4 linked regions of the Saccharomyces cerevisiae S288C genome follow. The protein of the gene in region 1 binds, or shares a complex with, the protein of each later gene. Each region holds a gene or a part of one and is shown on either strand. Other genes may lie near its edges.

What was found.
Region 2: RRI1 (region 1) and CSN9 share a complex: the UniProt entries of both Saccharomyces cerevisiae proteins name them as parts of the COP9 signalosome-like (CSN) complex.
Region 3: RRI1 (region 1) and RRI2 share a complex: the UniProt entries of both Saccharomyces cerevisiae proteins name them as parts of the COP9 signalosome-like (CSN) complex.
Region 4: RRI1 (region 1) and YJR084W share a complex: the UniProt entries of both Saccharomyces cerevisiae proteins name them as parts of the COP9 signalosome-like (CSN) complex.

What each region holds. Positions count from the first base shown.
Region 1 is NC_001136.10:66,121-74,443, forward strand, and holds RRI1 (COP9 signalosome catalytic subunit RRI1), read right to left. Parts: upstream 4,200-8,323; coding exon 2,877-4,199; downstream 1-2,876. Other genes in the region: YDL218W (uncharacterized protein), read left to right, coding at 373-1,326; translocation channel protein TIM22, read right to left, coding at 1,863-2,486; GDH2 (glutamate dehydrogenase (NAD(+))), read right to left, coding at 4,520-7,798. UniProt on the Saccharomyces cerevisiae protein: Catalytic component of the COP9 signalosome (CSN) complex that acts as an regulator of the ubiquitin (Ubl) conjugation pathway by mediating the deneddylation of the cullin subunit of SCF-type E3 ubiquitin-protein ligase complexes.
Region 2 is NC_001136.10:815,722-823,304, forward strand, and holds CSN9 (Csn9p), read right to left. Parts: upstream 3,476-7,583; coding exon 2,987-3,475; downstream 1-2,986. Other genes in the region: histone acetyltransferase NGG1, read left to right, coding at 1-839; E2 ubiquitin-conjugating protein UBC1, read left to right, coding at 1,157-1,804; succinate dehydrogenase membrane anchor subunit SDH4, read left to right, coding at 2,229-2,774; NVJ3 (Nvj3p), read left to right, coding at 3,712-5,103; cohesin-loading factor complex subunit SCC2, read left to right, coding at 5,574-7,583. UniProt on the Saccharomyces cerevisiae protein: Component of the COP9 signalosome (CSN) complex that acts as a regulator of the ubiquitin (Ubl) conjugation pathway by mediating the deneddylation of the cullin subunit of SCF-type E3 ubiquitin-protein ligase complexes.
Region 3 is NC_001147.6:93,111-102,016, reverse strand, and holds RRI2 (Rri2p), read right to left. Parts: upstream 4,467-8,906; coding exon 2,529-4,466; downstream 1-2,528. Other genes in the region: non-canonical poly(A) polymerase PAP2, read right to left, coding at 1-542; MSN1 (Msn1p), read right to left, coding at 1,060-2,208; YOL118C (uncharacterized protein), read left to right, coding at 5,101-5,409; MCH4 (Mch4p), read left to right, coding at 5,656-7,161; 60S ribosomal protein eL18 RPL18A, read left to right, coding at 7,615-7,726, 8,174-8,622. UniProt on the Saccharomyces cerevisiae protein: Component of the COP9 signalosome (CSN) complex that acts as an regulator of the ubiquitin (Ubl) conjugation pathway by mediating the deneddylation of the cullin subunit of SCF-type E3 ubiquitin-protein ligase complexes.
Region 4 is NC_001142.9:580,476-585,769, forward strand, and holds YJR084W (uncharacterized protein), read left to right. Parts: upstream 1-3,257; coding exon 3,258-4,529; downstream 4,530-5,294. Other genes in the region: YJR079W (uncharacterized protein), read left to right, coding at 578-764; AIM24 (Aim24p), read right to left, coding at 1-1,141; EAF6 (Eaf6p), read right to left, coding at 1,439-1,780; ACF4 (Acf4p), read right to left, coding at 2,133-3,062; TMH11 (Tmh11p), read right to left, coding at 4,645-4,962. UniProt on the Saccharomyces cerevisiae protein: Component of the COP9 signalosome (CSN) complex that acts as an regulator of the ubiquitin (Ubl) conjugation pathway by mediating the deneddylation of the cullin subunit of SCF-type E3 ubiquitin-protein ligase complexes.

The sequences.
Region 1 (8,323 bases):
CTAAAAGCATGTTTACAGTGTATTTCCAGTCATAGGAGAGTATTGACCTGGCATGGAAAAAGAAACGCACAATGAGAAAGGGGATATATACCCTTAAATTGACGATAGTTAAGGAGATTTTGAGGTTTGTGTTACTAATAAACCAGTAAGCATACTCGTTGATGACTTTAACGTATATTTGGTTTCCAAGGGATATTGAAACCGTATCTTAAGGGATGACGATGGTTGGTTAACATTCCCTAAAAGACAACGTATAAAAAGGTTCAACAAAGCGTCCGTTACCATTATGCTTTGATGTTCTCAGTACGAAAGTTTACGGTTTTTTTTTTCAATTGAGGAACATAAACCAAATAGATATATTATATCAACGTTATGAAACGAGTTACTGGAGTTTTCTTAACACTTTTGAGATTTTCTCAATTTGCATCATCGGTTTTGGTGATGTCACTTTTGGCGTATGCCATCCACGCCTATGGAAATAGAGGTAATAAGAAAACCAACTTCACATTGGCAACAGGTGTCATTAGTGTGTTTTATCTGATTGCCTTAGGTATTTTGTGTCTGGCCCTACCCACATTGATCTACATAGGAATGTACTTCTGTGCCGAATTGATCGTTTGTATGCTATGGCTAGCAGCTTTCGTTGTTCTTGCCAAAGCTCAAGGTGAACGTAGCTGTAGCAACACTAATGCAGACGGATTATACTATAATCCGTACAGTGGCCAATATACTGCTGACAGTCATAGAAGAGCATGTAATTCTTCTCAGGCGGCAATCGCCTTTTCTGGCCTTTGCTTTGTACTGTTTTTGATCAGTGTGATATTACTGGGAATTAATGTCTTAACACCTATCAGGAAGCGTTATCAAACCCAAGGAATGTGGAGAAGCGGCGCTTCTATGGGTACAAAGCTCCATAGGTGGAGCGGACTAGCTTTAAGCGAGCCTTTTGAAGAAACAGCTGCTTACGATAACACCAATGTTAGGACCGGTGATGTCGAAGCAGGTGCAGGTGATAATGCTGCTTACACATCTGAACCGAATGGCGACGCACGCTATGCAACTAATGACCCCAATGGGCAGTACCATACTACCACCACCAACACACGTTACACCACAACAACAGCGGACCCTAAGACGCGTTACACCACCAACGATCGTAATCCTGGTTCTGCGAATGTCGCTAACAGTGCAGTGGACCAGCACGCTTACTCTACGGATGAGTCAGGTGATCGGTCTTATCAAGAAAAGGTCACAGAAGGAGCTCACTCTGGCGCTATGAGTGGTAGCACTGCAGAACCAAACAGGAACGTCAATCAAATGCCATAAATTCAATGATTTCCTTTTTGTTCGTCTATACCCTTCACATACTTTTTCTTTTTCTTTTTCTTTTCTTTGCTTAACGATTTGAATTGCTCCTGTTCTAATAATGGCGTCGTCTTTTAGAAAATCCTTATCAGGTGTGAATAATGCTTAATTTTTTTTATATATAATGATTTACTTTTATTACTTCTTATTTTTATATTTTCCTCTGTCAAATATGTGACTGAAATCTTCCAATTTATTAATATTAAAGTGTGACTATCACTTGAGTTTAGCGACAGTCTCTAACGCCTCGAATTCATCGACATGGGAAAATTGGAAAGGGTATCGTTTTTACACTTCCCATTTTCTTCCAGCAAAAATGATCGGCCCAGAGTCTAGTTAAAGCATGATTAATTCTCCCAGGGAATTTTTTTGCTTTACTAGTAACAGTAGTTCTGGAAATTATTAAGCGTTCTTAAATTCTGGGACGGTCGTGCAGAATATTAAGATAGGTGATATTTACAAATATAAAACATTCATCGTTCGTCGAAATTGGCTATTCATTCTTTAAAATCGTTTTGAGGTGGTCTACCATCCTCACTTTTCATATACAAATCAATTGCAGCTGAAAAGGCAGCAAACCCGGCACCACCCATTAAGGCAGCTTGTGGTCCAGCTTTGTATGCCAGCCCAGCACCGGTAAAAAACCCTGCGGTTACTCCGTTGTAAATATCATTTTTAGCTCTAAGTGACTCTATGACACACTCCACCCCAGCATATATCATACCAATGTAGCCAAAATTCTTAGCACTAGAGTAGGATTTTTTACCCATATCGGTAAATTGAAGTTTCATTTGCTGCCGGAAAGGTAAATCAGATATTTGCTGAACTGTTCTTGATATTCCACCCACACCTATATTTCCCGCAGTTGCAGTTGCTGCTGTATTTGCAGGTGTAGGTGTATGAAGAGGTGTATCATATGCCATTGACGCCATGAACAGGCCTAAAACACCACCCAGTGCAAACCCTGTTACACCACTCACAACTGATTTTCCAGGACAGGAAGTCATGAAGTTCATGATCATTTCAGCACCCCGTTCACCCTGTTCTTCCGGAGTTAGTTCATTATAAGGTTTCTTTTGAGCTGGACTTATCTGCTCCAAACCAAATCCTGTGTACACCATCTTCGTATAAAGTATTTAAAATCACAATTTCTTGATCTTATTTGGCAGCTATCTCTACTATCCCGTTTAGTACTATCCCGTTTAGTAGTGACAGAAAAATAGTATTTTGTCCTGAAAAGCTTCGGATTTTATATGTACGAAATGGATCCGAGGAAATGCTGTCTGTTTTATTAGAGAATTAAGTTGACTGATGCATCGTCTTTCTCTTCAGTTGTAAGCTCGATGCCATTTTATCAGTAAGACCAAAAACCAACACATAACGGCGTACGAAAATATCAAATTGTCACCCGGTATAGATATACTTATAGAGATTCAAGAAGGAATAACTATTAAAAGTACGTTGCAGATAAACATAAGCTATTGCAGCGTCATTGGAGCAACGTTAGGAATTCATAATGTAAAGGTGTCCTTGTAAAAACGTAACCGCTCATATTGTTTTATCTTTGACGCAAGTATTCGATTTTTTGCTCTTGCATAATCTGTCTCCAAGACATTTCTCTGTAACATATCATTGCCCTCATCATGACATCTTTCCTGATTGCTGTTCATGCGTTTTTTAGAATTGTGAAAATTGTCGGTAGACCTGCTGCTTCTTTCCACGCGATTTACATGAATGCTCGGTTCGCCGTTTATGCACAGACTAGTGTCAGTACTGTCGAACTCGGTAAGGTTTCTATCTTCCATATCTACGTCACTAGTATTATCACCTGAAAACATGCTTCCAAAGGAGCTTGTTTCAGTGCTATCCCCCCTTTGCGTATTGAGGCAGAACTGAGACCTTGTTGAACGGTTTTGATAGTCAATGTTTTTTTTATTTTCGTTGCTAACACGTTCACTGGTAGTAGCCAACTTAATCCTTGTTCTAACATTTTTGGAATCCATCAAATAGCTATACTGCTTCATTGAATCGATCAATCTATTTAATGATATTTGTTCTGACTCATCATCCTCTATTACGCAATGTAAGTTTAACTTTGTTTCAAATAGCGCTCGGTTCAATTCTGAATCAAATATGATTGTTTCTAGTTCATAGTATGAAGTGGCACTATTATCATCACTTTTACTTTCTATTGTCCTAAATGCACCCATTCTTAAAATTTTATCTTCCAGACTTTTCAAGGGATCGACCACAATTGCGACATATGGATCTTGGAATCTCTGGTTCAAATCCTGGGTTTGGATATCTATATTACTTAACCAACAGTCGTAACCAGGATGTGAATGGAACCAGCCAACAACATTCAGTTTAGCGCCCTTGTAATCTCGCCCATCACCACCGTCATTATGATTATACATCTCGTCGATATATTGAACCATATATTCGTATGACTCCAATTGTGCATTTACGCGAGTTTCTGTCCCTACTACGGGAAGATTGAAACAATCCATTACAACAATATTATCTTTTAATGTGAACCCCATTAATATGCCCATGATTTCAATATTTCCTCCACGAACTGCATAATGGGTGATCTTTTCACATGATAATTTTGATATAAGTACGTGGGTGTAACTCGGAATATCTGTACTACTTTGTTGTTTTAGTTTAGTTTTGAGCAAGGAAGATTGGCTTAGCGCATGAAATTCAGGTTCTTGCGACGGCTTGAATCGCATACTTGATAGCGCTATAGATTCAGTTAGTTCATCTTCCACGGTGTACCTTTCCTTTAGTAGTTGTCGTAATTCCTTTACAGTCTTATTTGAAAGTGACATGCTGCCTCCTGCAGTTTTTATTGATTTTCGATCGTTGTTATTCATTTTTAGTTTATTTGAAAAACCCTTTAATAAGAGCGCTTCCTGCGTAGCGCGCCTTTCCTAAAGTTTCAGCTGAAGCATGGCTCCCTGAGGAGAACTGCCTAGTATAATGGATAACTCGAAGGAAAAAATATCAAATGCTTTTTTTAGATTAAAAATAATGGACATATAAACAACTTTACTTAGTACACAATAAAACGCTGAGAAGAACATACACATATGTTTAATTTTCTTTTCTGACGGCAGAACTAATTTATACAAAACAATTTTATTGAAGCTCAAGCACTTGCCTCCGCTTCTCTTTTTAACCCACCAATAAATTCCAAGAATTTTCCAATGTTAACATCGATACCGTTCTGGTAAACAAAAGTGCTTGATAAGTAACTCGACAGAAGAACTTTCAAATAGCTCTCTGGAATGTTTTCCAATACGGACTGAGGCCCAGCAACATCAATCAGAATTTTTGGAATTATTTTATCCAACAATAGGTAGTTTCTTAATTTTAGATCATTGAGCCACAACTCTTGAGAAGCAACTAGATCGTCGTTCAATTTGTTTATAGTGAAGGACAATTGGTTTGAAATTTCTGAAATGTGGGTTCCATTTAGTTGATTCAAATTCCATAACTGACCAAACTCTAATTCAGCATTTTTCTGAATTCTTGACTGCACTTCTACAACGTACGACTTGTACAACGCAGACCTCTCACCACTAACATCTCCAATAAATTTGTGCACGAAGTCGTTATCGTTAAGCGCTAGTGAGGCCAACACTTCCATTGATGAAGATGTGACACCACCTTTGTTTGCAGAAGCATCTTTGAACAGAATACAGCCATGTTCCTCCAAAGCATTTTTAGCAGGTTGCGTTATAAATAGATTGGCACCCTCCACAATATATGGAATTTTACATTTCCCAGTCTTTTCGTCAACAAAATAATGTAGATTATTTAGAGTAATTGAGTTTGGTCTACCACCGCATGGAACAAAAATGTCGACATGATCCACAAATTTGAAAATTTGAGTATGAAAGGTGTTTCTGAAGGTTGTGCCGTTAGCTACAATTGTACCATTTGGTAGCATGATATCCATTGCATCCACAGAAACAAAAAATCCGTTGTTTGATAATTTGGAAGTGTCGAAATCGGAAATCATTTTCCTTTCATGTGCCAAGCGGCATAATTCATCTTTATCTAAACCTTTAGGATCACACAGGACACCTGAACCGTCCAGAATTGCCAAATAACATTCGTTTGGCGAAGATAAAAGAATTTCATTGGATCCCAAATCACCATCCGGACCACCAGTTTGGAATTTGTAAACAGTAGAATTTGTCAAGTTTAAAGTTTCGTAAATTTTATTAACATAAGCACGAACACCCAGAGAAGTCATACCATATTCGTCATGGGGAATACCACCCAAAGATGGGGATTTTCCAGTCAAAAATGATTTCCACCATGGGCAGTTCCTCACACGAGCATGGTTAGTTGCCCAATCCACGAAACCAGCAGTTCCTTCATCTGGGCCAAAAAATAATATTTCCTCCTTTGGTAAAAGGTTGACATAGTTTTCCTTTAATGGATCGTTGATTAGAATGTCAATCATTGCATCCACATATTGGGAAAAGGCGACAAATGTCTGGTCATGTTCTACCAATCCTGGGTTCAATAAGATGACACCTTTAGAGCCACCCTCTGGAATATCCTTATTTTTACGTTGCTGAGTAGAGGCCAATTGATAGTTCTCATCAATAACGTTCTTGGAATTCAAATCATAAATATCCTGATTCCTGGAACAGACTATACGAATACCGCCCCTTGCGATATCTCTGAACCTGATATGGAACCCTTTGAAAGTATTACCAACGACAAAAAATATACCATAGGGTGTCTCTGGATATTCGAATTTTGTCATCACCAGGGAAGGATCTAATCTGAATGATATTGCTACTTTTCTTGTAATAAAGAAATTTGTCTTCAAAATAGACTTGTTGAAGATGTTCAGTGTTTTCAGGATCAACAAATCAGGTGAATCATTTGGAATGAATTTATTCAAGTAAGCTTCGAACTCTTGGTCATTCTTAAAAGGCTCCACTTTTTCCAGTCTTTGAAAAGATAATGTCTTCTCCATATCTTTAGTACTATTATGATAATAGTGAATTTGAGCAAAATTTTTATACAACTTGGAAATTATAGTGTAATGCTTCGACATGATGTTGATAATAGTTTGCTGAGTTAAGGTTTCATTTCTTAACTTTCTTTTTAGGTTTTCTACAATCTCCAAAAGAGTAGTATCATTACGCTTAATGGTGATTTGAGATAAAAGGTTTTGATAATCAGAGCCTAAACGATTAACAAAATGGTTAATGAATATAGCACCAATATGAGCATATATAGCTTCTTTGGGCGAGAATTGACGTCTCTGGTAAACCTCATGGAAAGAATTGTTTGGGATAGCGTATAGCAATGAAGCTTCTCTTTCAACCTGTTTCAATGCTGCCTCCACATCGTGAAGTAGAACATCTTCCAATTGCTGGTTCTCGTTCAAATAAACGGAAAAGATAATGATGTCATCATCCTTAACATTAAACGACTCTAAATAGAACTTAGAAGGTTTCAACTTGTAATAGTGGAACAAAGAGTTCAAAGCAGAGTAATAACGCTTAGTGGTGAATCGCTTGTAAGCGACTAATAACCTAATTTCATCCTTATTTTCTACGGAGCGAGTAGTCTTAATGACAGGACCTTCTCTTTCTTTAACCAACTTAAGTAAGAGACCGTATAGTTTTTTATTTTCGTTCGACGAAACTTTGTACATGGTCTTATCACTAATCGATTCAATATCACCTTTCAGCAAATCCTGAGAGGAAATATCTACGCCGGCTGGATCATCATTAGGGTAAACACTCTCATAAACAAAAGTTAGCTTTAATTCGCTTTCTGGAGCCCAAAAAGAAACTAATCTGCAGTTTTTTTGAGACTTGTTATCCAGGAAAAGGTCATCAATTTCGGAATCTAATTCATAAGGTGGACAAGAATCATCCATTTCAATCCTATTTTTTTTGATGGTATCCTTACCATGCTCCAAAGTATCGTTTCCGACGGCGTCACTAGCAAATTTAAAGTTTTTTTGCTGAGAATCGCTTATGCTGACACCAGTATTAGATTCCATAAAGATGGCATGATTATCATTAGTTATAATTTTGTTTTTAATGCTGAATAGCCTTGGCTGAATTCCGTTGAATTTGGACTTCGCAAAGAAATCTAGCTTTGAAGCATACAAAGAATGTATGATATTCGAGATTAATTGGGGAGATTCTCTCGAGAAGAACAAATCGTCAATACCCAATGAGTTATAAAACCAATCTACTTCTTGTTCGATCAAATCGTCGGGAATAAACCCTTGCTGATCTAGCAAATCTATCACTTCCTCTCTCTGCAGGTCCTTACCGGGAAAATCAAACACGTGATAGTCCGACATGGATGATATTGATAAAGAAGCAATATCTGGTGTGTTCAGTGAGTTTAAAGCACCGCGATTTTTGTTATCAAAAAGCATTCTTTATTCTTTTTATTGTTGTGAATTTAATATCCTTGTTTTGTATGTTTTGTTGAGATCGTGACAATCACAAAAAGGATTATACCAAAAGGTAATGTATTTTTTAGAAACCGGTTGTTCTTATATAACAAGAATTCTGACTAAACAGCAGCAATGAGTAAACGCTTGTCAGTGTTGATGTCGACAGTATAACTTTTGTTATTGTTATTGATGCCGCCGTTGACTCGTAGTTACTTGTCCTACTCAACTATTAATGTGTATTTTTACCCCAATTGCTCCTTGTTGTGGCACGCCGTCAGGCAGTATTAAATTCGGTCCTGCGGAATCGCCGCACACATAGCCGCCAGATGGGTAACCCTTTTCAAGCGGACTTGGTTTTCCGACGGTAAATAAATAAATAAATGACAGATTAGATTAGATATAGTCGTATTTTCACGTATATGTACCTATGGTTACAGTGCTGTAAGTATTACTTGCGTAAGTAAAAGCTGGAGCATATGGCCAGTATGACATTGCTATTCTTCC
Region 2 (7,583 bases), 750 kb from region 1:
TAATACGGGATGGCGGACTACCGAGAACCGGAGGGGAAGACGATATACAATCGTTTAGAAACAACAACAATGATACTGTAGACATGACATTATCTCAGGAGAACGGGCCCAGTGTTCAAACACCTGACAATGACATTGATGAGGAAGCATCTTTCCAAGCAAAACTGGCAGAAAATAAAGGCAGTAATGGCGGTACTACAAGTACGTTACCCCAACAAATTGGGTGGATAACAAATGGAATTAACCTGGACTATCCAACATTCGAAGAACGATTGAAAAGAGAACTAAAGTATGTAGGGATATACATGAATTTGCCTAAGGATGAGAACAACCCTAACTCAGATGACCCCGATTGGGTCACCGGTAGAGAAGACGACGAAATAAGCGCAGAGTTAAGAGAATTGCAAGGCACTTTAAAACAAGTGACCAAGAAAAACCAAAAGAGGAAAGCCCAATTGATTCCACTAGTGGAAAGACAACTAGCATGGCAGGAATACTCATCTATTTTAGAAGATTTAGACAAACAAATCGACCAGGCTTATGTCAAACGTATTCGCGTACCCAAGAAAAGAAAGAAGCATCATACAGCAGCTTCAAATAATGTGAACACAGGAACCACGTCTCAAATAGCACAACAAAAGGCTGCAAACTCAAGTTTAAAATCCCTTCTGGATAAAAGGCAAAGGTGGATTAATAAGATTGGTCCATTGTTTGATAAACCTGAAATTATGAAGAGAATCCCCAATGAAAGCGTATTCAAGGACATGGACCAAGAAGAAGATGAGGATGAAGCCGATGTATTTGCACAAAACACTAATAAGGACGTGGAACTAAATTAAAATATACGAACTCTAAGGAAAAATACGTAGCATAATAACGCATATAACTAACAATTTGGATAACTATCCATAAAAAAAAAAAAATAGTCACATAATACGAACATTAATATCCTTTTTTGTTACATTTTCTTCCATCTGAAATATTTGGAGGGGCAAAAACAATGAGATGACAGTTGAATGCATGAACTTCCGATCGCGGGCGTATAGGTAAAGTCAATTGAAGCAAGTGTGACGACATAAGTATCGTAATTTAGTGGTTGGATACATTAAAAAAAACAAGTGGTATATATATAAGTAGTAGTAGTAAGAAGTAAGCGATGTCTAGGGCTAAGAGAATTATGAAAGAAATCCAAGCTGTGAAGGATGATCCTGCAGCTCACATTACTCTTGAATTTGTGAGTGAATCTGATATCCACCATTTAAAAGGCACATTTTTGGGCCCACCTGGAACACCTTACGAGGGTGGCAAATTTGTCGTGGATATCGAAGTACCTATGGAGTATCCATTCAAACCACCAAAGATGCAGTTCGACACAAAAGTATACCATCCAAATATATCATCAGTGACAGGTGCCATTTGTTTAGATATTCTTAAGAATGCATGGTCGCCAGTGATAACACTAAAGTCTGCATTGATTTCGCTACAGGCGCTACTACAATCTCCAGAGCCTAACGATCCTCAAGATGCAGAAGTAGCACAACACTATTTACGGGATAGAGAATCTTTTAATAAGACTGCTGCACTATGGACGAGGTTATACGCCAGTGAAACTTCCAATGGTCAAAAAGGCAATGTAGAGGAGTCTGATTTATATGGGATTGACCACGATCTGATTGACGAGTTTGAATCTCAAGGTTTTGAAAAGGACAAGATTGTGGAAGTGTTGAGACGATTAGGCGTCAAGTCCTTAGACCCCAATGACAACAACACAGCCAACCGTATCATCGAGGAATTGTTGAAGTGAATAGATAAAAAAAAAACGCACCAAGTAAGTAAGTAAATAAAGAATAAATAAACTATATGAGTAAAACACCAAGCGAGGATGTTTCATTGTGCATCCGTGTTCTTGATGATCACATAACTGTAAAAGAATAATACGGCACGTTAAATGTTATTTTAGAATATATAAACACCTTATGTGCCATAAGCATTGAGCCAATCGCTGCTGTTTTTTTTATTCCGGGGCACCTTCGGAAGAACACAGGCGCAATTTAGTTATATAAGGAGAAGCCCTCGAGCGATCAGGGGACCGACTGCGGATCGCTTTAAGGCAAAGATAGAAGGATAAATATCTGCTTTGGAAGATAGTCGTATCTAATTTCCCATTCTGTTGTTTTCTTGATCTTTCCTACGCTTTCGACTTTCTTCCTACGCGCTTTATAATAGCTATGATGTTGCCAAGATCCATGAAATTTATGACTGGAAGGAGAATTTTCCATACTGCCACAGTAAGGGCCTTCCAGTCTACCGCTAAGAAGAGCTTAACTATCCCATTTTTGCCCGTATTACCCCAGAAACCAGGTGGTGTTAGGGGCACTCCCAATGATGCCTACGTCCCCCCCCCTGAGAATAAATTAGAGGGCTCATACCACTGGTATATGGAAAAAATCTTTGCCTTGTCCGTCGTTCCATTGGCTACGACGGCTATGCTGACAACCGGTCCGTTATCCACTGCAGCTGATTCTTTCTTTTCTGTCATGCTTTTGGGATATTGTTACATGGAATTTAACTCTTGTATCACCGATTATATTTCTGAAAGAGTTTATGGTGTTTGGCACAAGTACGCCATGTATATGTTGGGCCTTGGTTCTGCGGTCTCCCTTTTTGGAATCTATAAACTAGAAACCGAGAATGATGGTGTTGTTGGTTTAGTAAAAAGTCTATGGGATTCTTCCGAGAAAGACAACAGTCAAAAGATTGAAGCCAAGAAGTAGATAAATCACCACGAATCATTTGTTCGGTCATGTAACATGCACATCTATAGCAACGACGTGTCTCCTATCTTTTGCTTTTACCTTGTTTTCCGCCGGTATATTCCTTTGCCATATTTACTAGTATTTATTTATTATTATTTATTCTTCTATTTTTCTTTTATTTATTTGTTACTTCCTAATATCGTCATTATTATGCCTTTTTCATATTTGATTTACTCCAATATATTCTGTTTGAGCTTTGTTTCCCAGCTCCGAAGATTTTGAACTAAATACTCTTTCGTCACTCGCGGATTTTTAATTATAGTCAGTTCCTTTTCATGACAGTACACATCTCTACAGTCAAATCTTCTTGAAAATTTCATAGATTTACTGACTGAATCCATCTCTGCTTTAAAAATATTCTGTAGCTGAATTAAATGGCTTTCGATGATACCATCGTCTTCAATTTGACATTCTTCTTTAATTAACTCGTAACTTAACTCATTATATATTTCGCTTAATGTTACCAATGTTAATTTCTCCAGTTTTGATCGCATTAATGATGTTAGGATTATGTTTTCCGGTAGATCTTTAATGTTTCCAAAGGCAAATATTTCGAATAATTGTTGTTCATCGGGATCTTTAGTATTTAACCATTCTTCTTTGTAGTGATATTTGTAAGGATCTTCTAGCGATTTTATTGTTTCTTCCCTCATTACCATTCTCTCTTATCTGTACTACGTAGGTCATCACTGTTATTGTTTTTTATTTCTTTGTTTACTATTGTCCGTAATATAAATACATATTAAAAAAGTTGATGATGAGTTGCTCAATAATTTTCGCATTCCCTAAGATACAACGAACCAAAGGCAAGATAACAATAATATAAGAAAAAGCAAACGCGATAAGAGCCAGGGAAGTCAATATATACTGCACGGCTTTATTTCTATATGTGTAGATGCCTACCATTTTATACAACACCAATTCCAGTTTAATTACCAAGTACCGAAGGCCAAATGCCTCAAATCAATATAAAGGCTTTCTGTCAAAAAAAGGACATACACGACTGAATTCTAAATCGAGTGGAGATATTTGGGAGAAAGATTGTAGTCATACGAAAAATTCTGGTAATGATGTTTCGTTTGAGAGTGAATTTGAAAAAGATTCGGTTGAGTATCTAAGGGATTTATGTTTCTCTATATACCCAAATTCATTACATCAGAAAATCAGAAGCATAGAAGCTTTGCCAGACCTACAGGTAAATACCTTTATTGCCTTAATTTTCCAAAATTTCGTTAAGTCTTGGTATGGTATCAAAATACCCACTGATGATTCCAAGTTTTTAACCGAACTATATAACTTAGTTCAAGATTTAATAACATATTTGAAGAGTTCCAAAATCAATTACCATGCCCTTTTACTCGATTATATTCCCTGCTTGCTTTCGTCTCACTTGAAAGCATTAAATGACTCATCTCAAAATAACGATTTAGTTTATGAACAGTACTGTAAGCTAACTTTGTATGATTCGAAACGATATCCAATGCTATTCACTGAAATCATACAAAGTAAAATGAGCACCAAATCTCTACTACAGAGAAGCTTTTTGGATAGCTTTTTAAATGAACTTGTGTTCGGGCATATTTTTAATTCAATAGCGGAACCATATTATCTTCTGGAGGGCTTGAATAAAATTTGCATAAGAATAAAGCTAAATTCTGCAGGAAATACCAGAAACGAGGTGACTCATGGAAAGCCTAAATGCGATCCCTGGTTGTTTGTTTCCAATGTAAAGCACAAAATATTGCAAATGACCAGGCTTTTAGCTTATTCAACTTCAACAGAAGCAGCAAATATGAACACTGCCGAAATTCAAGAAACAGCATTTCTACAAAGATATATTTTTACTTTTTTCACCGATGATTTTTTCAAATTATCTATGAGGAAGCCATTCCTATTCTCAATATGCAGAACGCTTCAGCATTGGATCTCTAAATTAAATGCGTTAAACAGGGTCATGTATAGAACATTTGACAATATTGTTCAAACTAAAATTACCAGCCCTGTGACAATTGGCAACTTATTCTCATTATTACGACATTCTTTGTTTCCTAATGACAATATGATGGGGCCACCAAGAGTATTACCAGTGGGTGATGCTTTTCTAGAGTTCAGAGAAGAGTGTATTTCCAATTTATGGGATGTTTGTATGACTTATAAACTTGATCATATCCTCGCTATCAAAAGGTCTGACATAGCGGATCTTATTATCTGCATATCGAAGAATAGGGATTGCAATAAACTGCTAATTTATAGAATTATTGACTGTGTTATTGCGCAGTTGCCGTAGACTTCGTGATGTATAGAGTATTGTTGACAAATATTTGATGTTACCGAAATAGCACTCTTTGTAGCATTATTACCAATTTTTATACTATGAAGTAAGGTCTTAGGAAGCAAGAACATTGTTAACAAATAGCTTTTATGACCTAATCATTAGCACTATTCATTGCCAAATATGCAAATATCTATTCCTTTTGCCCGAACAGGTAAAAGTGGTATTGCTTTTATGTTAAACGCGAAACTGCCGCCACTTCGCTTAAAAAAAACACTGGCTGAAAAAGAACGATGCAGTTTAGTAACTAAAGTTTTTTCTAGCTCAGGCTTAGAGTTCGATAACAACAAGTCACATTCGAGTGCTCCACTTATAGCAATTTTTCTTTTGTGTATTGGTTTGCTCCTGTGTGCTCAGGCTTTTCGTTTGTTGTGAGAGTATTGTTCTTATAACTATTCATTTTTTGAAAGAATTGGCGGCTAGCAATGTCGTACCCAGGGAAAGACAAGAATATTCCTGGAAGAATAATAGAGGCCCTAGAAGACCTGCCTTTGAGTTATCTGGTTCCTAAGGATGGGTTAGCCGCGCTAGTAAATGCCCCAATGCGGGTTTCTTTACCTTTTGACAAGACTATCTTTACCAGCGCTGATGATGGCAGAGATGTTAATATAAATGTTCTAGGTACAGCTAACAGCACTACTTCTTCCATAAAGAATGAGGCCGAAAAAGAAAGGCTTGTTTTCAAAAGACCCAGTAATTTTACGTCATCAGCCAATTCTGTTGATTATGTCCCAACTAACTTTTTGGAAGGATTATCACCGCTAGCGCAGAGTGTTCTATCAACCCATAAAGGGTTGAATGATTCCATTAACATCGAGAAAAAAAGTGAAATAGTAAGCAGACCGGAGGCAAAGCATAAGCTCGAAAGTGTGACTTCGAATGCTGGTAACTTGAGTTTCAACGACAATTCTTCCAACAAGAAAACCAAAACTTCAACAGGTGTAACCATGACACAAGCGAATTTAGCGGAACAATATTTGAATGATCTTAAAAATATTTTAGATATTGTTGGATTTGACCAAAACTCTGCTGAAATTGGAAATATCGAGTACTGGCTCCAGTTGCCAAATAAAAAATTCGTTTTAACTACAAACTGCTTAACCAAATTACAAATGACAATTAAAAATATTACCGATAACCCACAGCTATCGAACTCAATCGAAATAACATGGCTTTTGAGATTGCTTGATGTGATGGTTTGTAATATAAAGTTCAGTAAAAGCTCTTTAAAGATGGGTTTAGATGATTCTATGTTACGATATATTGCTTTGCTTTCTACAATTGTACTATTCAATATTTTTTTACTGGGTAAGAATGACAGCAACTTACATCGGGAATCATACATCATGGAACCGGTGAATTTTTTAAGCGACTTGATAGAATCTCTAAAAATATTAACAATTGAATATGGTTCTTTGAAGATAGAATTTGACACTTTCCAGGAGGCCCTAGAATTGCTACCGAAATACATACGTAACGGCCCTTTTCTGGATGATAATGTCACGGCAAAGCTTGTGTACATCTTTAGCGACTTGCTGATGAATAATGACATTGAAGCAACTACGAATATCCAATTTCAAAGTTTTTGGGATAATGTGAAGAGAATCAGCTCTGATATTTTAGTTTCATTATTCGGTAGTTTTGATCAACAGAGAGGATTTATTATAGAAGAACTACTATCTCATATCGAAAAGCTTCCCACTAAGAGAATACAAAAAAAACTAAGAAAAGTTGGTAACCAAAACATTTATATCACTGATTTTACCTTTACTTTAATGTCAATGTTAGAGAATATTAATTGCTACTCCTTCTGTAATCAGATGAAGGATATTGCACCAGAGAATATTGATCTATTAAAGAACGAATACAAAAAGCAAGAAGAATTTCTTTTTAACATTGTTGAGCATATAAATGACACAATACTGGAAAGGTTTTTCAAGAACCCGTCCGCTTTAAGGTATGTAATTGACAACTTTGTCCAAGATCTATTATTGCTAATTTCCTCCCCTCAGTGGCCTGTAACAGAAAAAATACTAAGCTCTTTGTTAAAGAGACTTCTAAGTGTATACAGCCCATCCATGCAAGTTTCTGCAAACATTGAAACAATATGTTTACAACTTATAGGGAATATTGGTTCTACAATTTTTGATATTAAATGCTCAACTAGAGACCATGAAGATAACAACTTGATTAAAATGATTAATTACCCCGAAACTTTGCCGCATTTTTTTAAATCATTTGAAGAATGCATTGCATATAATGAAACGATCAAATGCCGTCGTTCTGCAACAAGATTCCTTTGGAATTTAAGGCTCGGTACGATCTTGATATTAGAAGAGTATACAAAGGATGCCAAAGAACAAATTATAACCGTTGACAATGAATTGAAAAAAATATTGGAGCAGATAAAAGATGGTGGACTTGGACCCGAATTA
Region 3 (8,906 bases), on another chromosome or scaffold:
AAGGTTAGCCAGTCCGAGATTTCTTTCTGTTTGGAGTGATCATGATTTAAAATCCATGGATAATCAGTATTAAGGATTTCCTTTTGCTTTTCTTTTTTAATTTCTAATTCTTGTTTCTCCCTCTCCTCTTCCTGTTCGGCTTGCTCATCCTCAGAACTAGCAGAAAGAGAGATAAAATCATCATTGTTAGCAAGATCCTTCTCATCCCCGTGCACTGCTAATGAAGGCGTTTTACTTTCTTCAGTAGTCGAGGGAATATCAGTAGGGTTATCGAAATGTCCATCGTAGACATCGAATCCTTCATCATCATCAGATTTATGTTCTAATACAAGAATTCCATCCGCCGTGACGTGATCTTTAGGTAATTTATTTGTCTCTTGCTCATTACGACTAGGTAAAATCTCTACTTCGTTTTCGTCGTTCAAGGATATAGACTTCTGTGGTTTCCGTACTTTCTTGATTTTCTTGCTCTTTTTCACTTTCCCATTATGCCGGTTTTTAATCTTCTTTGAAGAAGAGGCTGTTACACTCTTTGCCCCCATATTTCAAGTATAGTTCCCTTGCTTATTCACACTTTATGAAAGCGTAACGTTTTTGGTCGTATATTCAAATGGTTTTTTTTTAATGAAACTTAATAGTTATTCTATATTATTTTCCTCTTTTTTTTATTTTATTTTTTTTTTCACACATTATTTTAGAATCATATACAAGAAGCCGAGGATGAATACAGGTTTCTTCGACACTCAACGTGATAATCAAAAGGCAAGATAAGAAAACTGAGTAAACCTAAATATCTCACGCTTGGGATCCTTTACTTAAATTCAGTTAGGTGTTCAGCTATTCTAAATTCAAGAGCGTAAAGTACAAGGCATATTATATAGATATGTATACGTATACAATTGTTGTTGGCTGACTTCTGAGTTTTATAGGATATTATTAGAGATTATTGTTACAGATACAACCCACTTTAAAGGAAAGTCCAATTATTAATTTATTAAGAAAAGCATAAGTGTTACAAGGGCTAATTTGGGATAAAGGTGAATACACAAGAAGCAAATGTCACTTCAAAGTCTCTGGAATATGAGAACTGTGGCATAACCAACCAATAGGTTGTTTAACCTTCTGTTTATCATTAACATATCTTGAGTTTTCTAATATTTCAACAACATAGTTTAATGAATACCCACGATTAAGGCCAGTTTGAATGGCTTTCCAAAGAACCTTTCTTCTCGAATATCTTTTATTTACTGCTGGATCTCGCCTCCATGCCGTTTGATAAAGAGCTTCCATTTTCCTTATAGAAGGCTGCCCGTTAACACCTTCTGTATACTCCTTCCAAACCTCCATCACAGAGTGTGGTGACTTGATAAATTCGAAGGGTCTTGTGCAGACTATTCGTTTCCGTTTCAATCCTGTTTTAGTCTCATACTGTTCCTCCTCAAATGTCGGCACGCTCTCTTGTGCATTTGATTCAACCGCATTTTCATGGTTAGGAGAAACTTTCTGGAGATTAGGAGACTGCCGTGATTGAGAAGAGTTGCTGCTTATGTACAGTCCTTGACTTTGGCCACCATCATTGTTAGGTGGATTTGCTGAATACTCTTCCAAGGATGGGACTAAATTGGAATTATAATTTTGCGGCTTGTTGAACCGAGTGTCCACTGAAGGGTTGGTGCTATTATTTTCTTGGCTTATAGAATTTGAGCTGTTAGTTTGTTGTTGACTCTTATCATTTTCTTGTGAATTTCCATTCAAAATGTCCTCAAAAAGTGTTTCATTACTAACAGCTCCTTCATTTTGCGGATGAGCAGTTTGATCATTATTCATAGGCACTGAAGTATAATTCCTAGGAGCTCCTGGTGCCGTAGTTCCATCAGTGAAGCCTTGTGGGTCAAGAGTTTGGCTTAAGGATATTGACGTAGCTGACACCCCATGCAACGTTCCGCTTAATTTTTCACTGAGAATTTCAGCGTGGCGTTGTTGGTCATTCAGCAATGTTGATAAAAACGCGGTCAGTTCGTTGATTTGTTGCTGTTGGGAGTTTACCACTACATCATATTTTTTAAAGTGAAGATCGAGACGGTTACTTAACGCGTGAAATATACCCTCAAACATCGACATACGCCTTTCCAGCTCAGCAACGCGGTTGGTTAATATAGCCTCATTCTCATTTAGGTTTGAAGCTCCTATGTGCTGGTTACTTGCCATTTCGATGCCTACCTTGAAATAATCTCCTTTTCTGATTTGGTTTCTTTTCTTATAAGCAAGGGGCTTTGTATAATGAATCAGAACACTTTACCCTCAAGCAAATATTTCCTGTTTAACAAACTATGGTCGATAGTTTCCATACCATCAACGCTTTGTAGGTGTACATTTTCATTTCCTTCCACATATCCTTATTATCTTAAATCTCTCCAGAAAAAGCATCACTATAAACGAAATCTTCGAACGGCTTTTACAAAGAAGCTATCTTATGTAAGTGGAATTCCAAAATCGTAATGTTTACACGAACGTGCCTGATCGACATTCTATTCCAGATTGTTAGAGGCCAGTTTGCACAGCTCGAGGTACTTGTTGGAAAACTTCATATACGATGGTAGAAAAGTATCTTCATTCGACTGGTTGCTTACCCTCGGTAATTTTACAGTTTCCCTAGATTTTCTTAATGTATTGAAAAATTCTTTAGAGGATTTGGTTCTTATTCTTGTTGGGTTATTATAAATCGCGACATCGTTAACGTACTCAAAATCTATTAGCCTGGCCTTTTCAGTGGTTTCTTCATCCTTGGGAGAGATCATAAGACGAAATTCTTCTTTAGAACATCTCGGTAGCATGACTTTATTCTCGTCTCCGAAATAGACTAAATCACTTGTCAAATCTAACTTAAAATACACAACCGATCTATTTTTCATTATTGACCTCATTAAAATTGTTAGCAAATCATCTCTTGTCATTTCATTGTCATCACTTATTTGCAGCATACTTATAATGTCACTTATGGAGATACAGGAGTATAATCGTGCAATTTTTCTCCACAACTTTAATGTCTGCGCCAGATAGTAAATATCTTGAATAATTCCACTTAGTACTACGGACAATTCAGGAATAAGAGATATACTTGCATTCAGCTGTCTTAGTTCCAGTTGTGCGAAGCACCTGTAGACATCTTCTAATACGTTAACAATAGGGCTGCCTAGCGCAATCTTCACTTGTTCGAAACCAAAAGGATTAATCTTGTCTGTGCTAATTGCTTCTAGAATCATGCTCGTGAAAATGAAGCCGCTAAGAATGAACTTGTGAAACAAAGAGGTAATATCCCTCTCCCGAAGTTTTCCCATCTCTTCCAAGTGTTTCAAGATATAGAGGAACATATTTTTTAGCTCTTCTTTCCGATCATAATATCTCATCAGCGCAAAGGATAAATCATTCTCTGAATCAGAGTCTAAAATGAATACAATCTTAGAGGTATATAATATTACCATCAGTCCAGATTCTTGTGAGAAAGTAAGCGACTTAGATATCAACATTTCAAAAAAGTCAATGCACTTCTTAAACAACCTTCTATTGTTTATTCGTGCAGTGTTCATATACTCCAATATGTAATACTGCAGTAACATAGATACACTTTCCAAATCATTATTTTCCTCAAAAGAAGAGCATTCATTATCTTTCACAAGAATCTCTATTTGGGAAGAAATTTCCGGGGTGAATACATTCCCCATGGTTAACCTTTGATACCAAACAACGGCAATAAATATCTTTTTTCTAATTATACGCTGGAGATTTTGGAGTTTACAATCCTTGCCAGGCTTTCTTAAAATCCATTGAAACTGATCCATGAAGTTTTTTTGGAAATCAATTTTGCAGATCATATTTTCCCTATCAACTTTCTCGATGTCGAACAAGAATACTCTTTCCCACTTGGGTGCCAATACCTCAAAAGTATCAGAAAGTAATTCAAATATATTTCCATCAATTTGAAAGTCTATTCTTTGTAAAAAAACCGACATAGTTGCCGTGTCTTCTAAAATTTGTAGAACTAAATCCTGTGCACCGTTTTTCTGAAAATAGAGTTGTAGGGCTCTTAAACGTAATATCTCAATAAGTGATTTAAATTTCCATGTCATGAGCCTTTCTATACTTTCGTCAGATGAAAATTCTTCCTTGTAATATATCTTTAAAAATAAATCGCGAGCCTCTTTATATCGTTCGTCTTCTTTGAGAGCTTGGCCTTGCTCAAAGATTCTTTCACAAATATCTTCTACTCTGTCATGTTTCTCGAAGGTGCCTTGTTCATGTTGCTTATGTCGTGCCGCTCCTCGATCTTGATCATCCTGACTATTGTCTTCATTTATTTCAATGTTTTGTTTGTCTTCATCATCGGTTTCTTCCTCCATTTCAATTGACTCCATGCCTTCGTCATCCGATAACATGAAGTCGTCATAATTGTTATCTTCATCAGACATTTTGTGTATAGTGAACCTTTTTGCCTTTTACCGCGTCAAACGTTTCAATAGTTCATTTAGTCAAAGAGATCACAAAACAATTGATCCAGCTCCCCTTATAATATTTTTCAGCGAGGACCAGATAAATTTCTTCGAAAAGGAGCTGCACTTTGGGCAAACGAGAAAAACGTGCCAACCTGGCATTTAGCTACAGAGTACTTTCGCCAGTGTTATCATATATGGGCCACTACTCTCATACATGCACAAATGTTATACTCATTATATACTTAGTGTGTATTAAGAGATCAAATTTGAAAAAGGTAAGAAAGTAAGTTTGTGCAATCTTGTTGCCATCATATAAAACTCGAATCTCAAACTCGACATTCCCATAATGAAATCCAGAAAGTGTAAGATCACTGTCACTGCTTTCGAGGAATTAGTTATCTAAAGCAAGTAACCTAGAAGAAAACGTTCTATTGTGCGATAGATGAAATTCTAGTCGCAGTAAAAGCGGCATCTATAAAAGATTTTCTCAGTATATAAATGGATGTTTGACATCGAGGAATTGGCTAATTTTACAGTCGTATTATGGTAACACTTGATGGACTATAACTACCGGAAACGGCTGAGTTGTCTACCCCCCGTATGATCTTGAATGTCTTTTAGAAAGAAAAAACTCAAACCTCCAGCGGGTAGTCAATTTATTATAAACGACTCCATAATGAGCTATATTGACCGCACGAAAACACTAATAAGGATGATTGGATGCAAGAACCAGTACATAAAAGCACGTATGAAAGATAAGACCTTCTTCTATACGAAGCAATTCCGTACAGCCAAAAACAAATTTTTCTTTCATCTGTACCATTGGGAGGCCACTCATATTAACGTTGACCACTATATATGTACATGTCATCCCATTTTTTGGGGCTCTATAGGTCAGAAACTCAGGAGATCCGCCTGATCTTGATGATAAGAGAGTTTTCCTTTTATAGCAATTTCGATAGCTTCAAATTAGTCAGCCGTGCCTATGAGCGGTAATTAACAGGCGAGATGGCAAAGAGTCACAGGCGAATCTAAAATATAACAAAAGGCCTATTTCAGAGAAGGAAAATATTCCTTGGCACACGGCAAATAACCTCGAAAGTATTGATTCTGTTTTATTTGTAACCATATTGAAAGAGCTTTTCATAAACTTAACAAACGGAGGATGTTGAACATTCCCATAATTGCTAACTCCAAGAGGTTCCTGTTCTCAAAGGATCACGAAGCGCAATCTACGAGAGATCACGATGTGGAGCTGGAGACAAGGGAGGGCCCAAGTTCAGGATATAATCCAAACTTCAATGCAGCGGACGCGATTTTGAAAAAGAACAGCGATCAAGTAGATCTTGACGTTAATAAGTTAACGAACGTCACCTCAAGAGTTTTAAACACCCCAGAGGCCTCTTTGATTTATGATGATGACAGAGAGTTCCCAGATGGTGGGTTAAAAGCATGGCTGGTAGTATTTGGTGCGTTTATGGGACTGGTCCCGGTTTTTGGCTTAATCAACTCCTTAGGGGCTATTGAATCATATATCTCTAAACATCAATTGGCAAATATATCTTCTTCAACAATATCTTGGATTTTTTCCCTATACTTAGCTATCAGCTTTTTAAGCTGTATATTATCCGGTGGCTATTTTGATAGAAATGGTAGTATTGGTTTGATGTGCACAGGTACAGTCATATATGCTGGAGGACTATTCGCATTGGCAAATTGTAAGTCCGTATGGCAGTTCATTTTGGCATTTTCTGTGTGCTCTGGACTTGGGACGGGAATTTTAATGACTCCTCTGATAGGAACTGTTGCAACCTGGTTTTTAAAAAGAAGGGGTATAGCAACATCTATAAGTACCATGGGGGGTTCAATAGGGGGTATAGTTTTCCCTATTATGCTGAGAAAGTTATATAAAGAAGTGGGCTTTCAATGGGCCATTAGAATCCTATCATTCATTTGTTTAACATGCCTCATTTGTGCTTCAGTTTTGGCTAGAGAAAGAACTAAACCGGTCGTTCAACCATTCAAATCCAAGGCGGAAGTAGCAAAGTGGTACATTTCCTCTGTGTTCAATTGGAGATATTTTTTGGAAGGAAAATTCTTGTTCGTCGCAATAGGCGCTTCTTTTGCAGAAAGTTCCCTAACTTCATGCGCTACATATTTAGCATCTTATTCTATGACAAGAGGAAACACAGAAAATGTTGCTTATACCATGATCACTGCTTCGAATGCTGTTGGTATACTTGGAAGGTATATACCAGGCTATTTTGCGGATAAGTTCATCGGGAGATTCAATGTAGAAATTATCACCATTTCAATGGCTGCCTTATTTAATTTTGTCATGTGGCTGCCATTTGGCGGTAATACAAAGGTACTTTGGGCGTACGTTTGTTTGTGGGGGTTTTCGACGGGTTCTATCCTATCACTGACACCCGTTTGCATCGGGCAGATATCTAAAACTACTGATTTTGGTAAACGTTATGCAACGGTATATCTATTGCAAGCGTTGGTAACGATTCCGGTTTTACCTATCGGCGGTACCTTAATCGGTAAAGGTACAGTTGCAAATTATAACCATTTTATAATATTCAATTCAGCGTTAATGGCGGCAGGTGCGGCATGTTATATAATATCAAGGCATATTTGCGTTGGTGCGAAGCTTTGTAAGTTTTAAGGTCAGCGTTCAGAAGCGTTCCAATAGGGGGGGGGGGGGGTATTTCGTTGATACCTATGTGGCTATATAGTCGATCTAGCTTTAAAAACTCTAAAGCATATATACATATATACATATTTAGCGTCATGCCAAGAATTCATAATTTCGAAGACTGTTTTCTACATATCTTATGTGGTGTACGGATATGAATTTTTTTACCGAAGACAATAATGCATGGGTGTTAATTCTATTTTTTTTTTTTTCTAATTCAGAATGAAATTTTTTTCTTGCTGGAGATTACAGTGGAAATTTCGCTCCAACACACGCACTCTCTCTGACTTGGTGCTGCCGTGAGATTCTGGTTCCTCAAGGAATATTGTATGAGATAATTTAAAACAAATTGAGTTGAAGATTCATCAATTCTGCCATTTTGGATCCATCACAAGAAGAGATCATCAAGCTTACGGATTCACAATGGGTATCGATCACACTTCCAAGCAACACAAGAGATCTGGTCACAGAACTGCTCCAAAGTCTGACAATGTCTACTTGAAATTGTTAGTCAAATTATACACTTTCTTAGCTCGTATGTTCAAGAATAATATCAAGGGTTTTAACCAACGCCAATTATGGTTAGAAGGATTCTGTTACATTGAATATAATAGATTATCCTGAACTTTGGTAAGTTCATTGGTTTTCTATAAATATTCGTTATGGTTTGCTGAAAAATATTGGTTAATGTTTTTCGCGATCATCTAGCTTTGCTTCTGATGTGACAAATTATTGGTCAATTTATTGAACTGAATCTGGCTAAAATAGTCATACCAGAAGAAGCTAGACGTATTAAAATTCTGCGAGTGCAAACGGGTATATTTGAGGAACGATATGTTTCTTTTACATCACGTTTTGTGCGGTATTGCAAACCAGTGAGCAGAATCTTTTTCTAATTTAATGAAATATTTGTACGGAAAACTATTGTTTTCCGGTCCTTCGATCCATTAGTTACTAACATTTTTTCATTTTTTTTTTTTAGGTCGTACTGATGCTCCATTCAACAAGGTTGTCTTGAAGGCTTTGTTCTTGTCTAAGATCAACAGACCACCTGTTTCTGTCTCTAGAATTGCTAGAGCTTTGAAGCAAGAAGGTGCTGCTAACAAGACTGTTGTCGTTGTTGGTACTGTTACTGACGATGCCAGAATCTTTGAATTCCCAAAGACCACTGTTGCTGCTTTGAGATTCACTGCTGGTGCCAGAGCCAAGATTGTTAAGGCTGGTGGTGAATGTATCACTTTGGATCAATTAGCTGTCAGAGCTCCAAAGGGTCAAAACACTTTGATCTTGAGAGGTCCAAGAAACTCCAGAGAAGCTGTCAGACACTTCGGTATGGGTCCACACAAGGGTAAGGCTCCAAGAATCTTGTCCACCGGTAGAAAGTTCGAAAGAGCTAGAGGTAGAAGAAGATCTAAGGGTTTCAAGGTGTAAGTTAACTGAAATGAAAATTTCATATTTACTTTTTTATTGTTACTCATTTGTAATTCATAAACTACATACACTTTCAATCGTTTCTTTCAAACTACATAATTTTTACTGGCGATCAATAACGCATTTAGTTCATAAAGTGAGTCAAAGTTAACACTAGAATATTTGCTACACCATCAATAGGCTAGACCATAGTTGAAAACTTTCATAATAAATTCTTCCGTTTTCAATCTTCATATACTGTGTCTCTAACCATGATACCGTGACACAACTACATCCGTACACAT
Region 4 (5,294 bases), on another chromosome or scaffold:
GCGAGACGGTCGCAATAAACAGTGAGGGTCTGTTGGCAAGCTCAATGATCTTTGAATTTACATCGTTAGCCACTTGTTTCTCTAAATTGACACCGTTATCATTCACGTTGCTCTTCTTAACGTGGCCCTTGGACGTTAGTTTAGTTAGAATATTATCTTTGGATGTTGTCATTTCATGCGTTTGAATCAATATTGTTCTTGGACCTTTAATCTTCATAAAGTACGAGTCGACACCATAAATGTATCTTTTTTCGTACTGGTTACGGATCCAACTGCGCATTCTTTTGAAAAATTGAACAGTATGTCCGTAAGCAGATTTTAGCGTTTGGTTCTTAATGAATTTAGGTGCCACCGTATCATTACTTGAATCTCCGACGTACGCGCCTTCCACGTGTAACTCTTGTCTCTCCACTGAATTTGCAATATCCAATTGACTTTGGCCGTTGATGGCCAAAATGTTTCTGGAATTAACCAGAATTTTGTCGCTTTCATCAATTAACTCAATTGAATATACCAACCCACCTCCACATACTAACACATTTCCTCTCCCATTCAGAATTTGAAATTTCCGTGGTAGTTGTGATTTTGATGAGTTCGAGACTAAAGACCTTGCAGAGGGAAAGATAGGCGATTTGATTTCCAGACTGGAGTTCTGTTCAAATGCGATAATTGAATCCTTGCCAAATACATTCCAATCCTTTGTCCCGGTCAAATTCAGTACGGACAAGCTTCTTGAAGAATCGAAAGGTCTTCTCGATGTTTGAAAGTTTGGGGCAGCCAGAATTTCTAAAACGGAGGATCCAATAATTCTATGAAACAATGAAGATTTGAATGAACGAAATTTAATCAGGTTTGACCAAAAATTCAGCCATTTATAGGAAAGGGATAAATGGTTCAAATTGTGAATGGAAACTAGGCAATCCTTTTTGATACAAATTGGAATATCTGGTTGAACAGTGATAGATGCAATTTTACCATTTTCGTCTACTAGCCTGAAACGGGAAGTCGCAATATCCTTGCTTAAGTTCTCGATATATGTCCTTTCTTTAGTTACGACATTACTCTCCGTCTTGGCCGCTTGTGGGCTCAAAAGAGAAATTGATCTCTGCCAAACTCGAGTATTCACCCTTGGGCTTATCATGATGGGTGGATATCCTTTTCTGTGCTTCTGTTTTGTTTATCTGTATCCGTTTATTCGCCAGCCAATAAAATGACTGGGAGCACGGGACCTTTGAAATTTTGCCCTTGTTAGTAAATCGTTATAAAAATACTTATATAGATATTTTATAGAAAATGAAAAATAAAAGAAATAGCCAATATGTAGGTATATCGAACTTAAAGGTCACCTGTCGAAATCATTTCCTTCTTCTCTCTTTTTCTTTTCAATCAGATGTTTTAGAGCGGTCAAGCAACGTAAATACCAACGTGTGCTATCGCATTAGTCGTTTTGTGATTGGCCATGCTGCTGCTTCACGTACGTAGCACTACTTAATGAAAAAATACGATCATTGTTATTGAATGCAGAATCTGCATGGCTGTGGTGTGACTTGGAGAAGGTATCAAACCCTTTTATGATGTTACCAGAATAGTGTGATTTTGACCCATGGGCTCCCCCATGACCTGAATGGTTGTTATTACTATTGTGTGAGAAATACTCGGTCTCTTTATCATATATCTCTTGTTGTAAGTTGTCAAAGGTATCTTCTTGCTCTCTTCTATCTTGGAGGGACTTTTTTAGTTCCGCTTTCAATGCTTCATAACTTTTCAGCTCATCAGTCATTTTCTTCTAGGCGTAGGTTGGTAACAAACGGAAAGATGATGGAAAATGGCTGTTCTCTAAAGATGTTTATCTTACGTATATTCTTTGCTTTCGTTGTGGCTTTACACACCTTTAATCATTAATTTAATGGCATAGTCGGCAAGTTGTTGAAGGACCTGGGTTAATCGCCTACATGTGAGGTTTTTTTAAAAATATCAATTACATTTAAAAAAGGAAAGCAGTAGTACCAAAAATCGGGCAAAAAAAATTTACCTAAATAAAGGAATGCATAAATGAAGCCGTTTAATCTTTGTATTTAATGAGAATATTACATATGAAGGTCTCTTGAGAAAGCATCAATAGTGGACATTAGCTACCTTTTAAATAAATGAACGGGTATGTCACCCATGGGTTCAAACTCTTCATCATCCTCGTCTTCACTGCGTACTTCATCGTATTCGTAACCCAAATTTTCTTTTATGTAATAGTGATCTTTCTTACTTTTCCTCTTTTCCAAAAGGTCATCGAATTCGTCCTCTTCCATATTCATTTGATTGAATTTGTTAAGTATTCTTTGTAAGAATGGTGTGTTCTCCCCAGCAGTTGCCGTGGTATTAGCATTCTTCATAGTATTCCTTGGGGGTAGCAAGGGAGGACCCGATGTTGGAGTTGATTCTGAACTACGGCTTGGAGCAATATTTTGCATACGTTGTGACCGATTAGGCGGAGGGTTCGGTTTACGATTGGGTAGAGTGTTATTTATGTTGCTATTAACATTATTATTGGGCTTACTAAAAAAATCGTTTATACTCTTTTTTCCCTTGAGCATATTTGGTGAATTATTTACGTCCACAAATGTCTGTTGAATTCTTTTGGTAAAAGTAGAGAGGTATTCACTTGGGTTCTGGTTACCTAATTTCTGTTGTCCATTTCGGGGCAGTGTATCTTTGAACTGTAACTCTAATTGTTTTAATTCTTTTTGGGCGACCTCTAATTTGAAACTAAGTTCATTGATTTCTCTGTGTTTTGCAGCTAATTTATATATTAAATCTTGGTCTGTTGAAATCGGACTTGCGTGGTCGCTCACGGGTGACTGATTTGTCGTAGATCTTTGCGGACTTGATATAGGTATAGCAAGTCTTTTGGGCTTTAAAGGTGTCGTAACCCTTGGTGATTTTGATTCAGGCTGCACTTCATGTTGTTTTTGATGCGGCTGTTGCTGCTGTCCTTGGGAGTGTTTATCGACAATCGACAGCTTATGTAATTCAATTGGTTGACTAATTACACGCTGGTCTTCTGACATTACTTTAGGGCGTATGTATGGATGTATTTTGTATTGCTTTTGGCTAGTTAGTAGTATTCCTCAATCGTATTGTTTTTGATTTTGAAAAAGCTAACGATAAAGGTCAGGAAAAAAAAAGAAAATTGTATGTAAAGGAATGTCTGGAGAGAGTTACACAGGAACAGAAAGGTCCAGCAACGGTTTCTACAACCAATCATGGATGTTGATATAGGATGTTATTTTGAAGAGAAACGCTATGACGACAAACTGTTAGACTTCATCAGATATGACGTTAAAACACCTAAAAAGACTAAATATATACTACAAAGGCCTACGGCGACAGATGAAGAGAGTGTACGATTACAAAGGTTTTACCAATTAGGAGTAGATCTAAAATTGAAGTATTCCAAGCGGAGGTCATTGAAGAAGCAAGGGCGGATCAAGAATGCTACTGAGGAATTGCTGCGATTAGCCAATGAACAGTTGAAACTTTTCAACAGAATAGTAGAAAGAGAAACCAATTGGATAATTTATCCGCTGTGGGTAATGGCTAAACAATTAATTCGTCTGGCAAACGAATCTAGTGAACTTAATAAAGACTCAATTGAGGAATGTGGACGCACTATCCATAGAAGCTTTACTATATGCCTCAATGATAGGAACCCAAGATTGAATGAAAATAAAAAAATCGGGTGTTATATGTTTGCTAATCTAGAGTTTTCCATCTACCATCGGTTAAGTAATAAAGATATGATTAAAAATTTAGTGAAAGTCCTCGAGAGCAGAGTGAACGCCCGGGATATACCACCGTTGAATAAAAGCCTGGCAATGGAACATAAGTCTCAAGTGGTGTTGTATAATTATTATCTAGGTCAATACTACGGATGTCTGGAAAACGATCACGAACGCGGGTTCTTCCATTTAAATGAAGCATTATTGCAATGTCCAATGCTATATGTGGAATCTACCGGCAAGTTCGTCTTACAGGGCCAAATGGAAAAGATAATGATACTGCTGGTTCCGCTTGCTCTTTTAACTAAAAGGTTGTACCCTCACTGGGATCATCCAGTAATCGCCGGAGTAATTACTAGGAGTAAGCGCTTAAGTCAAGTTTATCCGACATTAGTGCGTAGCGTAATCTCAGGGAACCTGTCACTGTACGAGGCTACCGCAGCAAGCCATGAAAGATTTTTCCTTTCGCAAGGATTGCATGTCGTCATCACATTACTTCGAGAGGTGGTCTTCACTCGGTTGGTACAACGATGTTGGCAATGGGGGAATGATCGGAAAAGTATCATGCCCTTGAAAATTCTTCTGGCAACAAAACAACACGATAGTTCTGCCAATGAGGACGAAGAGGAGCAGTTGGATGCCCTAGAATGCCGTCTAGCAAGTGCTATAGCAAGTGGGCTTTTGCGTGCTTATCTTTCTCACTCCAACCGCTGCATCGTTTTCAGTAAGAAGGAGCCCTTTCCCCATAGCAAATGATAGAAAAATAGTCAATAATTGAACGAAGAAAAAAAAAAGAAAGTTTGTTCATAAAAGAATATCATATTATATATATATATAGGGTCGTATATATATCGTGCGTCTTCTTCCTTCTCTAAGGGTAAAATTCCTTGTATTTGTTATAATAGTAGTAACTGCCGAGCCCACCCAAAGCTGTCAAAACGACAGGGACAGGTTTAGTGAACCTGGAAGGCATGCCTCTTATGACACCAGCACCAAGTAGTAAGGTCGATGCACCCAATGCCATTTCGAGCCCACCATCTCTATTCATATGTAGCAAGTAACCGGCAATCCCATATACACTACCGAATACTAAGCCAGATACTAGAGATGGAATGGAGCCCTTACGGTAGTATCCCATAAGGCCACCGGCTGTAGTCAAAAGACTCAATGTATATGCTGGATGTTCCATAGTGTGATCTGATGTTCCTTTCTCTCAAACTTCGTTTCTGTCTTGTCTCCCGCTGTTACCTAATAACTTCATGTGATCTGCTCCCCCTTCTCGTTAAATACCACCTTTTCATCAACCCCGTAGGGCGCGACACGTCTAAAATATTAACCTCTGAATACTTATTGGGTCAAAATGAATGTTGATAACTTTCCTTTACAAAAAAAAAACTAATAGAGTATATGCATTTCGGTAGTGAAATATTCGTTAATGCTAATATGCTCAGTAGTGATCCTAGATTACCAGTTTTACTGCAGCCATCGTACAATTTTGGAACGAGTATAAAGAGAGAAATT